Lepisosteus oculatus: one gene and its partner. The protein of the gene in region 2 purifies or fractionates together with the protein of the main gene of each other region. This does not show direct contact. Links are inferred from orthologs where the notes say so. Each region holds a gene or a part of one and is shown on either strand. Other genes may lie near its edges.

Region 1 (7,340 bases), on a different chromosome or scaffold from region 2:
GTGGAAAAGTGTCAGAACTATTCCTTTTTCCACTTAAAACAGTGGGTCTCTTCAAAACCCAACATCTATATTCTTTTTATCTATTTTAATGTTTTAATTGGGCTTGGTATAGTTACCGTAAAATGCAGACTTTTGGATGTTTTATTTGATTGGTATCTTTTAGCACAGATAAATAACAGTAAAAGTCATTTTTTTTTCATATTGGGTAGCAGATAGCACCCCAGGTCTGGAAGTGAACCCAGGAACCCAGTGACCACTGCAACACCACGAGGCCAGCAATCCACAGAAAGATTATAAATCAGCCCTGACCTGATGACCTCCTTAGTGAGGACACGCTTTTTTTCTCCTCTGCCAGCAATCCTACTTCTCTATACTCACAAGTATAACAGCAGTAGTAATTATGAGTAAGGTACTCTAAGGTTTGGCAACTCCATGTGGAAGCCCATCCCAGCTTCAACCAAGCTTGTCTTTTTATCTTTTTACCACATTCATACCAATCTTTCACACCTTGTCCACAACAGTTCAAAGTAAGCTATACATCAGTTTACGAACCAAATCTAAGTGACTGACTGGCCAGTGTTCCTCTTCATTAAAATAATTTGTTCCTCTCTACCTAACAATGATGCTGAAACGTTTTGTATTACAGTATGTGATACAGTCTATCAGCATAATGTAGTATGTTAAAAGTATTTTGTAGAAGAATGGTCAGTACAAGACCTGGGTTTCTAATGGAAAGATAAGAACAATGCAAAATGTCTTCCGAGTGCAAATAAATATCCAAATTACTTATTTGTATGGTAACCAAAAGATGCCTCAATCCCTTCAAATTATGCATGTTTCAAAAAATGTACTTTTCAATAAGTTTAAGGTCAATGGTATCTGACAAATTATTTTTAAATCAGAAAAAATTGTGATTCCCTTAAAGTAGCAAGTACAGTACCTCACTTTATGAGCTACTAGTGCTTTTTCCATTAACCAGGTCATTCTGCGGTTTCTTTAGTTGCACCATTGCCATCTTGTTGTCGCTGACTATTGCTGTGCTCCTCAGCCTCAATCATTTTTTGTTGCTTTAATGATTTTTGCCCCAATACTTTTATACTTTTCTCAAAGGAAGAATTTAAATTTGAGGTATTTCTCAATCCACAAATGGAAAGGATAAAAAAATACTTTCTCTGCGGTTTCTCTCATTTTTTTTGACCGCCCAAATATTTTGTGGTTGCACAGCTTGATGTTGAAGATCTGCTCTAGAAACTGACGAGATACACACCTGTCCAGCATGATGGCGATTGATTACATTGTTCTAATTCCGGGAGGCTGTACTAGAGAGGCGTGTGCGTTTTCATCTGAGAAATGACTGTGTGGCGGAACTACGGTGAACTATGAGGCTTTAGGAGTACCAGAAAGGAGGATCTGAGTGATGCACTCTCAGATTCCCTCCCATCTCCCTCCTTTCTGAACCAAGTGTTCTCCCAGTGCTGCCTGTCTGGCGACAGTAATCTCGTGGTGACAGTGCCATCCCGCTAATTTCACCCATGAACACTCAGGCTGAGGCACAAGTCTCGGTTTGTTATATTATAATGTTTAGAAGATCACATAAGGCCAATTAGCCCATCTAGGCCCATCTGTTACTTAACTGATCTCAGCTGTTTCGTCAAGGAAGCCAGGCTATTGGCTTGAACAACATGGCTGGGCAGCTTGTTCCACACTCCCACAACCCTTTGGATAAAGAAATGCCTGATATTCTTCAATTTAAAATGCACTTCCACTTATTTACCACTTACACGTTTCTGGAACATGGTTCATTTTTTACAGTTCGTTTTGAAGAAATCAGCTGAATTGATTTTGTCACTGCAGGAGGTCCTTTTTTGTCGGAGGATTGCAAATAACTTGTATGAGATCCCCTCATAGTCTTCTCTGTCCAAGACTAAAAAGGTTTAGTTCCTTCAGGCTTTCAGTGTAGGACGTTTGCTCAACCCTGAAATGTATCTGTTCCTCCAGACTCATTCCAGAGTCTGTACGTCATTCCATAATATGGTGCCAGAATTATACACAAAATTCTTAATGAGGCCTTTCTAGTGCATTAAACAATTTTAATATACCATCCCTTCATCTAAATTATATGCTTTTAAACTGTGCATCCTAACATTTTGTTTGCATTTTTAATTGCTCGTGTGGAACATGTAAACGATGTGTCAACATAAACACCCAAGTCTTTTTCATAAGCAAGGCCTTCATCAGTTTCAGGTTTGTCGACCTTGAAGCGCCACCAGATATAAGAGGAATAGACATTATAAACTTTATGTAAAGATATAACCCATTCCTAAGTGATTTATAACAGCAGCTTTTGTTAGATAGTAACTGCCATTATTTCAATTACTAAATGTAAATGAGAATGCATTAGTTTACTTGTACAACTACACATGTAAACAGACAATATTAATCATAGCTTATTGGGTGTATGACATGTATAGAATTTGGGTTATAAACAAGGACGTATGACAGGGAAGCTAACAGAATGTCTCCAGTTAAAACTCCAATCTGCACTTGCTTCAGAAACCATTCTATCTCAGTTATCAAATTAATAATTCCCAAATATACTAAAGATCCTAAGGTTACATCCACAATAAAAGTATAACTATACATAACACGTATTGATGCATATTAGGGAGTGTCCGTTGTAAACAAACATCTTATTGCAGGCCTTAAACTTAAAATATTATACAAGCAAATCAAACTAAAAATGAAAACAGCCATCTTAAATGGGATAAGCGGCCCACGGCGTGTAACCAGGCAGTCAAAAAGCTTAAAAGACAGAGTCTTTCAGGAGACTGTACGAGCTTTTTTATGCATTCGCGTCTGTTTTCGTGCTAAAATACACCGGCTGTAATCACGTTTACGTTATAAACCAATTCCCTTCATTTACTGAAATATTTAAAAACCTTTACCTACCTTTTGGACATGAGCTTATGCGCGTTGCATGCTAACAATAATAATTACTGACACGTACCTGAATGAAAAACATAAACGCGTAAGTCGCCGATTTAGATTCTATATACGTTGGGGTTTCATGTTGATGCTAGCCAGAAAAAAACTTGAAACAAAATATATACACACGAACAATGCTTAATGCGCGTGTTGCGGCACGTCTCGATATTATCTACGAAGACGTCACCTGTCAAACAACAACATGAAGTTTAACAATCTCCACTTTTTATCTCTTTTTACAGTGCCAATCCAAGATAGGTCTTAAATGTGCGTTCTGCAGTCTTATGTGAGCATCAGCTACTGTACCAAGCAACAGTCAGCAGTGTACAGAGATATGCATACTTAAGTTAAAGTTTAACTTAATCTGAACCGGTTGTAATAATCAAAAATACGCACAATACCGTGCGTGGAGGTCAGCATTAGAATTACCATTGTTACTTCTCATTTGTCTGTTAACAATGCGCATAATAATTTTTTAAAGAAGTGGGTACAATTTAAAGAAAACAGGTTTTTGTAAATTAACTGTGCATCAAAAAACGCAAAATGAAAGATTGTTTATGCCTGTTTCACTCGGGAACGGACCACACACCTGGCATGAGAACTGGGTGAGATTTTCTGATAGTCCGCACCTCTCTCATGAATAGAAAAAAAAATCAAATTTCGCCGCATTAGAAGGCATACTTTCCTAACAAGGTCTGGCTCTTTAAAGAGTCGTGTATGGGTTGCCTCTGATATGAGTGCTTTGAATTTCGCTGCAAATATCAAATGTTTCGGACCAGAAACTTTCCGTCAGATTCGACTTGTTTCTCACTGGCTGGTCCGTCAGAGGCAGCCGAAGCTTGTGAGATTTCATTTAAGGAATAACTTCTTATTCATATTTAATGGATGTGGGCGGAGTCCACAATTTTTCGCAAGAGATGACTCGCCCTTAATGCCGAAAAGGGTCCCGGTGCACTACAGGGAGTCAGTTCACCTTCCGCGGAGTCGATCGGCGGTTCCATCCTGGAGAGCAGCATGAAGTGCAAGGCTATTATTCCTCAGTAGGTGGCACAGCTCATAGGCTGACACCCTCTAAGAGTATCATCATTATTAGTAACAGATAAGTCATTAGTAACTACTGAGGAGTAACAGTATCTTTAGTAATTGAGAGAGAGTAATACTGTATTGCCATTACAATATTGCTTTTGGTATGATTGCGCATCCATTATTGGCCTCTCTGACTCTCGAGGCATTTAATAATAAATTCTTACTTTTCTGGACTCTCCACTCAAAGTGCTTTACAGGTAATGGGGACTCCCCTCCGCCACCACCACCAGTGTGCAGCCCCACCTGGAGGATGGGATGGCAGCCAGCCATAGTGGACACGGTCCATTTCAGCACACACCAGCTCTCACGGGGGAGGAGAGCAGAGTGATGAAGCCAGTTCATCGATGGGGATTAATAGGAGGCCATGACTGGTAAAGGCCAGGGGGTGATTTGGCTGTTAGTGGGGTCATAGCCCTCGCATGTGAGAAACATTTGCACTGTAACAGGGGCTCATAAGTGCAGTTCATTCACATGCTATTCCTCTTATCCTAGTTACCAGCTCCAGTCGCTCCCTCTTGGCTGGTCCCATCTGTAGGAAAGCACTCATGAGCCCCAAATATAGTTTGCAGCAGCTAAATGTCGGGACTCGCCGCCCCATCGTTTGGCTATGTTATCAGATGTATTATGTTTTCCTCCTCACGGTATTTTATAAATCACGTTTTCAGGCTTTAAAACATTCCGATCGAATTAACTCAAAGAAACGCCACCACAGCAACAAGAGTGTTTCCCAACACGCGAGGTACAATGGTTGAATGAAGGACAGGTCTGCAGTGCGGACACAGTTCAGGGCAGCGCTGAAGCAGATGTCCACCTAGAGAGCATGTCTGCTTGCAGCTTCACTTCATGTGTGAATATATACGCAAATAATAACACTGAAAACACTGAACAGTTATTCTATAAAAAGGTTTATTACCAAGCGCACATTGAAAGATATTAGTCATGTTTATTTGTGCAGCATTTCATTCTTTGGAGGGGGGTTTGCATACAGATCACAGTGGAAAACGTCAAGAGTACAAAGATGTTTTTCAAAACCTGATTCCGTCTCCATAATGGAGGGAAAAAATTAAAGTTGAGTACAGATGGTTATTTGCTTCGCCGTTTCGTGAATGCATTTGTGCATTTTACAAAATGAAAAAAAAAACTAATACAAAAGGAACTGGTCACAGGACTGCTGTTTCTAGGCAGTAACAGAATACACTGAAAAATCTCACCTCTATGCAGCTTCGTGCCTGTCTCATTACGGCCGAATTCAACTTACGCATCATGAATGCATTGGTAAGCAATGAATTGCAAAATTAATATTGGGATGTAATGCTCACAATTCCTAAAGTACAGCTGAAGAACACTTAAAAGAGAGCCTAAAATCTAGAGCCACAGCATGGTGGTGCAAGCCCTTTCAGATTCCACAGTGCAAACGATAATTTTATATCTGCTACCTTATTGTGATTAAAACGGCTAAGACGAACACGCACAGTTGAGCCACTTTAGGTTGCAGACCCTGGACATTTCTGTGGAACAGGGGTATCATTTTCAAAAATTCATTATTGGCTTTTCTACGAAGAAGAAACTTAAGGAATTAGTGAGGACATTGTGAAGAGAAGAATAAAAAATCCACACAGTTCATAAAGAAAATCAGATATTTTTAGTACATGACCGAGTAAAACCAAAAAAAAAAAATCTGTCAGAACATATACCAGGCAGATGAAAAATAAGGAAACAAAACTAGCTGCAAAAAATAATCCCTTGCCCTGTATAACTAAGTATTGTAGCTAAATACCAAACAGCTGCTAAATGCCTAATATTGTGTATATCTATTCCACAGCCACTCCCCTTTAAAACTTGAACTTGGTCTCCTCTACGTTTTGAGAAACGTAACAAATCTCAGATCCCCCCATTGTATTATGAGAGAGAGCTGGAGCTAAAAGTGGAGGAGGTGTAGTTGAAAGTAAAGTTTGAAGACATATCTACGCTGCCTCGTCTTGAGCCGCTCCTGGACCCGGAGCGGGACCCCGGCGCAGATGAAACGTTGTAGGGGCTGCTGATTCCTTCAGAGGACATGGAGGACGCTTGCAGCAATTTCATCCCGGTGTTTTCCTCCACCATGCAATTTTCCATGGCCTCCTTGTATGAAATCTTTAGCTTGGTTTTAGGACACGTCAAACTCTTGGCATAGCGCTTGGCATCTTGGAGTTTCTGAGCTCCTCTTCCATCCAGCCAGCCTTTTCTGATGGCTTCTTCAATACTTCTCCTTTGAGTGGTACCGGGTTCCATCAGGCCTCCTGTGACATACTGATACTCAAGGAACCTCTGCCCAGCTTCATACGGTAACCACTTCTCCTTAATTGCTTGCGCCGCCGACATCTGACGCTTGGTTTTCACATCTTCAAAGCCTACAAATGCTTTATAAGCTGGCTTCAGCCTCACAGCCATGTCCTGGTCAATGATGCCCTGTCTTACCGCATCATCCAACGTGAGCCGAAGACCATTTGAGGGATTTATGATGCCTCCAGTACAGGCCTGAGCCTCCAACAGCCGCTGCCCCGTGATAGAGTCCACAAGCCCCCGTCGTACCGCTTCGGTTATGGTTATTTTTTCGATGGTTTCGGTGTCAAATATAGCTGCGATCGGACTTTGATCTTCTAACAGATCGGAGGGGGGCGAAAGACTTATCGAGACGCCAGACCAAAGTTTTCTTGGGGTAGCTGGTGACCCAGGTTTAAGTAATGTGGGGCTCCTGCTGGTAAATTCAAGACTAGAAGAACTGACCAAGACTTCCCCGGTGCTCTTGGTGGTCAACATGTCTGCAAACTGCGTAAGGGTCAGGGACCCCGAGCGATATTTCTCCAATGCCGATTTGTCAATGACACCCTTATCTACAGAATCCTGAATGTCGTACTGCTGGCCGGTTTTCCGATCAACAATTACTACTCTTGACGTGCCGTCGGATGAAGTGATAGTTATCTCTTCCCACTCGCATTCCTGCTCGGAGAGCTCCAAGAATGTGTCATAGTCAATCAGGTTCCGGTGAAAAGCTTCACGTACTGTCATTTCCTTGTCAGTGTCAGGATCAACAATCACCACTCTGCGCTTGCGCAGGGTGTTCTTCTGAGTCAACTGCTGTTGTTTCTTCTTATCTCTCAGTGGAAGTAGGGTGAGACCAGTCTGTTTATCCTTAATGCACCGGTCTTTAAGCTGCAGATATGTTAGATTTTCTTCAGTGTTTGGGTCAAAGAAACCTTTGGTGTCATCCCCTTCATAAGACAAGATAT
Region 2 (7,561 bases):
TTCACATCTGTCATTTCTATGAATTCCAAACGATAGTGTAAGGAAATTTAAATCAAAGAAAAACTACAACAATGCAAAGACGGGAAACTGATGTTCTAGCAACTTCGATGCACGCTCCCCAACTGAATGTGCCCCGTGCCCCCGTCCAGTCGAGCCCACCCTGTCTCCATGGCCACTCTCCACACACAGGACCCTGTCAGAGCAGCACTCACGATCCCGGGCTGGGAGACGGGACAGGGGGGAATGGCTGGAGAGAGCATGCTATTCCAGGTGGACCTGGAGTGGTCTATAACCCTAACCCAACAGGGCCCAAACAGAAACTAGAAATACATCTGAACAGGAAAAATGCATCGGGTGAGAACAAGATTGAATCATTTTTGGTAAAAACAATCCTGCTGCAACTTTTTCCACACTCAACATGCAGGACTACAGGAGAAGAGTAGAAATGACCAAATGCATGAAGAAAGGAGGTCTCTGAGTTGGAAGCAATTCCCAATCTCTCCATAACTTTCAGGCACGCGCACAGACCCTCCTCGCCATTGCCTCTTATTAATCCGGACACCACTCTCACTGCCACACCACTCTTGCAAACTCAAGCCACAGATCAGCCTGACCAAAGCTGCAAACACGCTCGCCACAACTCGAACAGAACTTAACCAGCTGTACAAACTGCTCACTGTCCTCCTGCAACGAGCTGAGTTCATGAACGGGCCTAAAGATTCAAGCTGAACAGATAACGGAAATGCTAAATTACTCTGATGTCTTAGCGTAGGTAAGTCCTATTTTATTTCAGACTTACTAAGAAAACAAAATGTGCATCTATCTCTAAATCAGTCATCAGAATAGAAGGACTGTAATGAACCAGAAAACTATGATAAAAATGTTTTACTACACAAAAACGTGGCACGCTGTACTAACTTTATATATACAGCGATGTTTCTTTAAGAAAGCAAGTATTTAAGGAGACCACTCACATATAAACTGACAGGTTTAAGCATTTAGGTTTGATTAACATTATACTCAGAGGAGGAAACCTTTTTACTGCACCGTAATTCTGATTTGCCGTCACAACGGTGATCCTGCAATGTAGCACGATACATCCCTCATGCTCACAGCCGAGCACAACAGCACGGGACAGCAAACTCACCTGTGTGCTGAACCACCGCAGGAAAGTCTTCTAACAAGTTCTGACTTTGGGTCACCCAGACGAGACTCGCATACAGTCCCAGAGCAAGGAGGACAGATGAGGTAGACGAAGCCCAGCCGTCTTACAGTTGTGTTCAATGTCCTACTGACAAAACCCGTTGGGAAGGAGCTTCACAGGGGATCCCCCTGAAACAACCTCAGAGACACTGCCTGCCGGCCGAGCCCCTTACTATCTCCGGACAAACAGCAAGTCTGCATGCTCCGTGTTAGCCCTTTCCGAATTGTGGTTTACTATTTGGATCACATTTCCACTATGTTCTAAGTCTTTATGATGTCTATTACTGCAGTGGCTGATATTTGAATTCTCCCTTAAACTCTACAGTCCAATGCAATTATACAGTACGACGCTGTTCACATTCACACTAAAATACGCGTTTGTCAGTCACCTGGCTTAATAAAAAAAACAACTGATGGAGCTAAACGCTATCACACGCAGGCCAGCCGGGCTCATGTGAAACGTGACATTTGAAACAGTGGGCCGTGGCAGTGTTGTCCACAGTAACAGCGAGCGTACTTGATGAGCGCGATCAGCGCGCTTCGGCAGCCCGGAGTCAGGCGGCTCGACTGTCACTCAAGCGCCCCTCGCCTTCGCTGAAACCCGACTACAGTACCAGCCCATCCAGGTGGACACATGCATTTAGTACCCGTGTGGCCAAAGCGACGAATGTGAACTCGAAACCGTGAGCTGGACAGCTAGTTCATCTCCAAAAAGCTCCCGGATCTCCCTACAGAGGTCCCAACGGCGAGTTGGGTAACAACTACAGCACGAAAACTGCATCTCCGGGTAGCTAGAATACCGAAAGGTTGACATTTTCTTTGTAGCACAAAAGAGGGCCGTTGACAGCTGTTAAAAGTACTGTATTTCGAGATACAACACAGATACAAGCCCCTAACCCTGCATGCACACAGGACTGCAAATCAGCACCTCGCCGTGCGCGAAGTCAAGGTTTGAAATACTGTATACAAGCGGCACGTCCAGTGTCCGTCTCCACTGACAAACACTGCAGCTCCTCGGCCAGGCTCCGGGGCTCATCAGGGCAGAGACGGTCACTCAGGCGGACGCTGGTCAGTCCGCAAGGCCAGACCGGCCCGTCTCCTGCGCCCTCCCGCCGGTCTGACACTTCTGCCTGCTTTGCACCAGAGAGCAGAAACGTCAGCTGGGCTGGCGGGCAGCTCGGACACCCGCCCGGCCAGCCAGAGACCCCCGTACCCCTGCCCCAACCACGCCTGGCAGACCACAGCCAGCAGAGCGCAGCGATCGCCCACTGAAACACACACGGGAAACGCGTCCCTCTCAAGACAAGTCTGCAGTTACACCGCAGACTGTCCGAGAGGAGAGCACACCCCGAGGTGCGGTAAGGAGCCCGCAGGACCAGCCGCCGACTCGCACCCGTGCCCGTGCCCCCCTCTCCAGCTGCTGCGCCTGCGGGCTCGCAACGACAAAGAGCAGCGCTGCTCGTACCTCGGTCCAGGAAGGCAGCCCGTGCGGTGCAGACACAAAGGCGAAGGAGTGTTTCCTCTCATGCAGCTCCGGGCCACTCCGGGAGCGCCGAGCCGAGCCGAGCCGAGCGCTGAAGGAAGCGGCGACACCGCCGGGAGCGCCGCTCGTCTCGCCTGCTCAAGCTCGCTTCTGCTCACGGCAACGGTCGCAGCAGGCTCCGGTGGATCCTGGGGTTATCCCGTCTTTGCCCGTCCAAATTGAAAACACAGCCGAGGAACTGGCCTTCAGTCGCTGCAAAACACACAGGCCTCCAAGAGGAAATGGTCCCTCATTCAGACGGCTCGTCTGCGCGTGCGCACCTCGCCAGCCACACCACTGCCCGTCGGGAGCGCGCTCGGGGAGAGGGGGGGTCCGGCGAAGGGAACGCGCACGTCAACACTCTGACAGGTGGTGCCCTCTGCCGGTCAGAGAGAGTAGGTCTGAGAGTAGAAATTGGGACCGTCCGCGTTACCTTATTTCATCCATATGCTTTATTGTAATTATATTTAACTATATGTAACTATAATTATGGAATAACGTCCGAGTTTACATTTCGTATTGCACTTCTCTGAAGGATGCTACCTGAAGCCCCAGAAAGTATCTGGTTGCACTTCCCTGCACTGATTCCAGAGCAGGGAGGTTGTATCAGACAGTTCTCTGTGAAGCAGCACTATTTTAGTCCTAAATTAACTTTTCTGCGGTCAGGGGAGGTCACCTTTAGCTTCATGATGCACAACTGGCAGCCCACTGGAGCTCAGCAGGTGTGAGCCTGGCCAGTACCTGGATAGGAGACTCCTGGGAAAAACTAAGGTTGCTGCTGGAAGTGGTGTTAGTGGGGCCAGCAGGGGGCGCTCACCCTGTGTCTGTGTCTGTGTGGATCCTAATGCCCCGATTTAGTGACGGGGGCACTATGTTGTAAAAAGGTGGTGTCCTTTGGATGAGATGTAAAACTGAGGTCCTGACTCTCTTCGGTCATTAAAAATCCCAGGGCATTTCACGAAAAGAGTAGGGGTGTAACCCTGGCGTCCTGGCCAAAGTTCCCCTAGCCCATTTACCAATCATGGCCTCCTAATAACCCCCATCTCTGAATTGGTTTCATCACTCTGCTCTCCTCCCCACTGAGAGCTGGTGTGTGGGGAGTGTATTGGCACACTATGGCTGCCATCATATCATCCAGGTGGGGCTGCACACTGGTGGTGGTGGAGGAGAGTGTCCAGAAAAATGTGAAATAAGTGTAAGGAATTATTACTGCCTCTGTGTCCATGAACACTGCCCTGCCCTGAACAGGCTTGCACCACAACACCCAGCAGGAGGTGCTGGCAGCCTGATCCCACAGATCAGGTGCAGCTGTATTGCGGGAAATAAGGAGCAGATGCTCCTGTCCACTGGTGAGCACAGATGTGAAGCCAGCACTCCACGTACTGAATCAAGGAGAGGATGTCACCATGGCACCCCAGGAGCCTCTTGATGGTTTAGGAAGACAATATTCTGTTAGTCTAAATGACAGGGGTGTAAGTCAAGATTGAAGGCAGCTAAAGAATAGATAACCACAGTCTAACCAGGACTTTAAAATGGGTGGTGCAATTTCTTCTTGTGACTGAGCTGTTGTAGCCTCTGTTTATGAAGTGTTATCAACACTGGAGAGGACTGAAGGACAGATTATCTGCTGCTTCCTCAGACAGAGGCTGGGATCAGCCATGTGCAAATAAAGTTGTCCATATATGGTAACTATATCAGCACAGTTAAGAGACCATAAATTGATTAATCTCACCCCAACCTTTCTCAAAACACCACAATTTCCCAATTTCTTCTTTGCGTGTGCAAAAGAAAAACCATTTGAATTATTTTCTTATTTACAGTTGCAATATTGTCATAGCATGGGACACTTGTTTTCTTTTTAAGATTGGCTAAATTGCAATTAGTAAAGGTAAAACTAATGAAGTGGTAGTGGTGCTCTTCCCCCTGCTGGCTCAGAGTGCTACAGGTGGTCCAATCAGCTCAGCTCAAGCCTATGCTGGTCATTGCTGTTGCTGGGATCGAGGTTTGCTTTCACATGTCAGGTCCTATGTGGAGCTTCCATATGCCCTCCCGTCCTCTGAAGATGGGTGGTTGTTTGCTGGCATCTCTCAAGATGAAGATGTTAACCTGGTTTCTTTCAAGACCTGGCTGGATGAGATCCTCTAATCAATTAGCTTTCTTCCTCGTCTGGAACCAATCTTATATTCCTTTCTTCTCATTATTTTAAACTGAAGGTGTCTGTTTGGGATGTAAAATTATATTGGACAATATATTATACATTGACATATTAGACAACCAATAATTTGCACATTTTTGACATTTCCTGGGACTTTCGGCAACTGTGCTTTTGACTTCATCTGCACCACAAATTGAACCAGATTAAATTATGGGAGTGAGAAAAGTGATCATTAGATTGCAGCCTGCTGTACATATTCCTCGAGCCTGTAATCTGATCTGCAGTTCAATCCTACAATGGAAAGGCAAACAGCTGTAGTTCAGCCAATGGTATTAATACAGATAAGATGACTTAATTAGCCATATACAATTTCTTGTATTAGGAATTTGTCTTTCGCAGACCCCAACTTGCTCTCCAGGAGACTCACAGACAGAAGCTGGGGGTCAGAGCGCAGGGTCAGCCATTTATACGGTGCCCCTGGAGCAGTTGGGGTTAAGGCCCATCGGAGTAGGATTCCTCTGCTGGCCACGAGATATGAACTGGCAACCTTCCAGCCACAGGCGCAGATCCTGAGCCACAGAGCCACTGCTCCGCTCCAAGAGGGGTTAAAGTGGCACATGCTTTATCTGTCCATTAGCAATACAAATTAAAATAATATAGCACAGTTTACAATTGAGATGGCTAAATCAGCTTATTTCGGATCTGATTTTCTTCAAGCTCAACATCACTGGCAATACCAGTAGGTCAATCTGGACCTACTAAAGAATAAACAAATGATGGAGTAATTCTGTCTTAAAAAATAGAACACTAAAAGACACCAGAAGAAACATCAGTTTAAAAACTGAATGTCTGCTCCTCTGCTTCCCATGTGCAATCATTTAATGTTCAATGGGAATTTATCAAGTACCACCTACAAAAGCATGCATCAACTTCACTTACCTTCTCTCACCTTTTCATCTATGGATGCTGAACAAAACTACTAAACAAAATCCAAAAGAATACTTAATAAAAAAAAAACATAAGACTTCTATATTTTTGCAATGCTTTAATGTTCTTTATTGTTCACAACGATGCAGAAGTGTTATACAATGACTTCTCAAACAGACTGACTGTCAAGGTCAGTGGGACAGTCACCCATCCCGTCCTTTGCAAAAATCGAAATTCTGCTTCAGACAACCTATTTTACCATCACTACAGAGACATCAACCCCACAGATGCTGCCTGAGGTTTCAGAAGAGTCCGCTGTCCAGCTCACCAATGAGGTCACTATGGGCCTCAATGGCAGGAAAGGAAATGCAGCTAAATCGACACAGGTGTTGTGAATTTTTGGAGCCATCTGGTGGATAGATTTTGTAATGTAACTTATTTTCAGCAAGATGTCATTTTAGGCAGGACCACATTTAAACTTAAAATTATTCAGAATTATTATCGGCACAGCTAGACAGATGTGATTCTTTTTTCAACATACTACAAATTGCCATTGTAACAAAAAACGAATCGAGATATTAAAGTTTTCCCATGCTTTTGATAATTATAACTTCTAACAGCCTGTGATTTCCCTGCCTCCAAACCCAGCGGCAATGTGGACTACGCAGAAGGGGCTGCTGGTACTGCAGAAACCCCTGTGCTCTGCAGAGCGAGCACATAGAGGATAATAACAATAATCGTTTAACCAGACATCATTTCAGAACAAAATGTCGCTTGTAGAGCAACCACGAGAGAAATACGAGATCAAGGGAACAAGGACAGTCTCCCAGTAGCAATTTGAGCCCACAATCTTGGTATTGCAAGCCCTGGACCCAAATCAATACCTCCACAGTGGGAGGTTACATTTTCATTATCCATCATATAAGCTAAATACAAGTTTTCGTTATACAGTAACATGAGGAAAACAGACCCAGGGGACCCAGGAGTTGCCTTGCTCTTAGTGCAGTGTGGAGGAGAGGCTGAAGTGCACAGCGCCGGGGTGTGTCAGACTTGTGTTTGTCACTGACGCCACCTACCTCAAGTGTACACACCTACTGTATAAATTCCTGGGCACACTGCATATATACACAACAAAAAGGAAATACAATATACACAGGAACACATTCCAACAGTGATGAGATAAAAAAAACTACACCATCTCCCACTACAGATTTATCATTCTGAGAAGTTAAAACATCTGTGCGTTTAAACCCAAGTTTATGATGCAGTACAAGTAAAAATAAAAAAGTGACCTAAGAACATCTGAAACTTGATACAGTTCACATGCTTAATAGTGCAGACAGGCAGGTACACTATTTTGCACTACTTAGTACACCGAGATATTCTCGACTTTTTTTTCCTCCACATTTGGTGAAAAATAATTGAGGTTTCCATTGAAAATGATTAAATAATGCATTAGTTACCTAGTGCTCTTGATTTTCCTCAAGACCACAATAACAACAGCATGCAGCAGAGATGGACATACTCCTGCCTCCTCACCACTGTGGATCAATCTGACATTTCCCCTCAACACTGAGAGAAAGGACAACTTCTAGTGGGTCTCCCAAAACAGGAAGGAGGTCCTGCTACTAAGACAATAAACTGCTGTCTCACAAGCTTCCACAATTCCTTTTCTGTTCTGAGGTAAAGACTCACCACCAGTCTGATGCAGATTTAAATGTCCAATTGCCACAAGCCCATTGGTAACTTTTATA

What was found. Proteins that work in one complex are often made in the same cells at the same time.
Region 1: the proteins of csk (region 2) and tns3.2 purify together in Homo sapiens (affinity purification with mass spectrometry; 4 studies listed by BioGRID and IntAct, with this or other methods). This does not show direct contact. The link is inferred for Lepisosteus oculatus from reciprocal best matches to the Homo sapiens genes CSK and TNS3.

Annotation. Positions count from the first base shown.
Region 1 is NC_090701.1:4,603,373-4,610,712, forward strand, and holds the start of tns3.2 (si:ch211-191a24.3), read right to left. Parts: upstream 3,025-7,340; 5' UTR 3,008-3,024; intron 1-3,007. Other genes in the region: desmoplakin-A, read right to left, coding at 5,971-7,340. UniProt on the Homo sapiens protein: May act as a protein phosphatase and/or a lipid phosphatase. Involved in the dissociation of the integrin-tensin-actin complex. EGF activates TNS4 and down-regulates TNS3 which results in capping the tail of ITGB1.
Region 2 is NC_090700.1:56,659,510-56,667,070, forward strand, and holds the start of csk (tyrosine-protein kinase CSK), read right to left. Parts: upstream 3,002-7,561; 5' UTR 2,669-3,001; intron 1,320-2,668; exon of another isoform or gene 1,148-1,319; intron 1-1,147. UniProt on the Homo sapiens protein: Non-receptor tyrosine-protein kinase that plays an important role in the regulation of cell growth, differentiation, migration and immune response.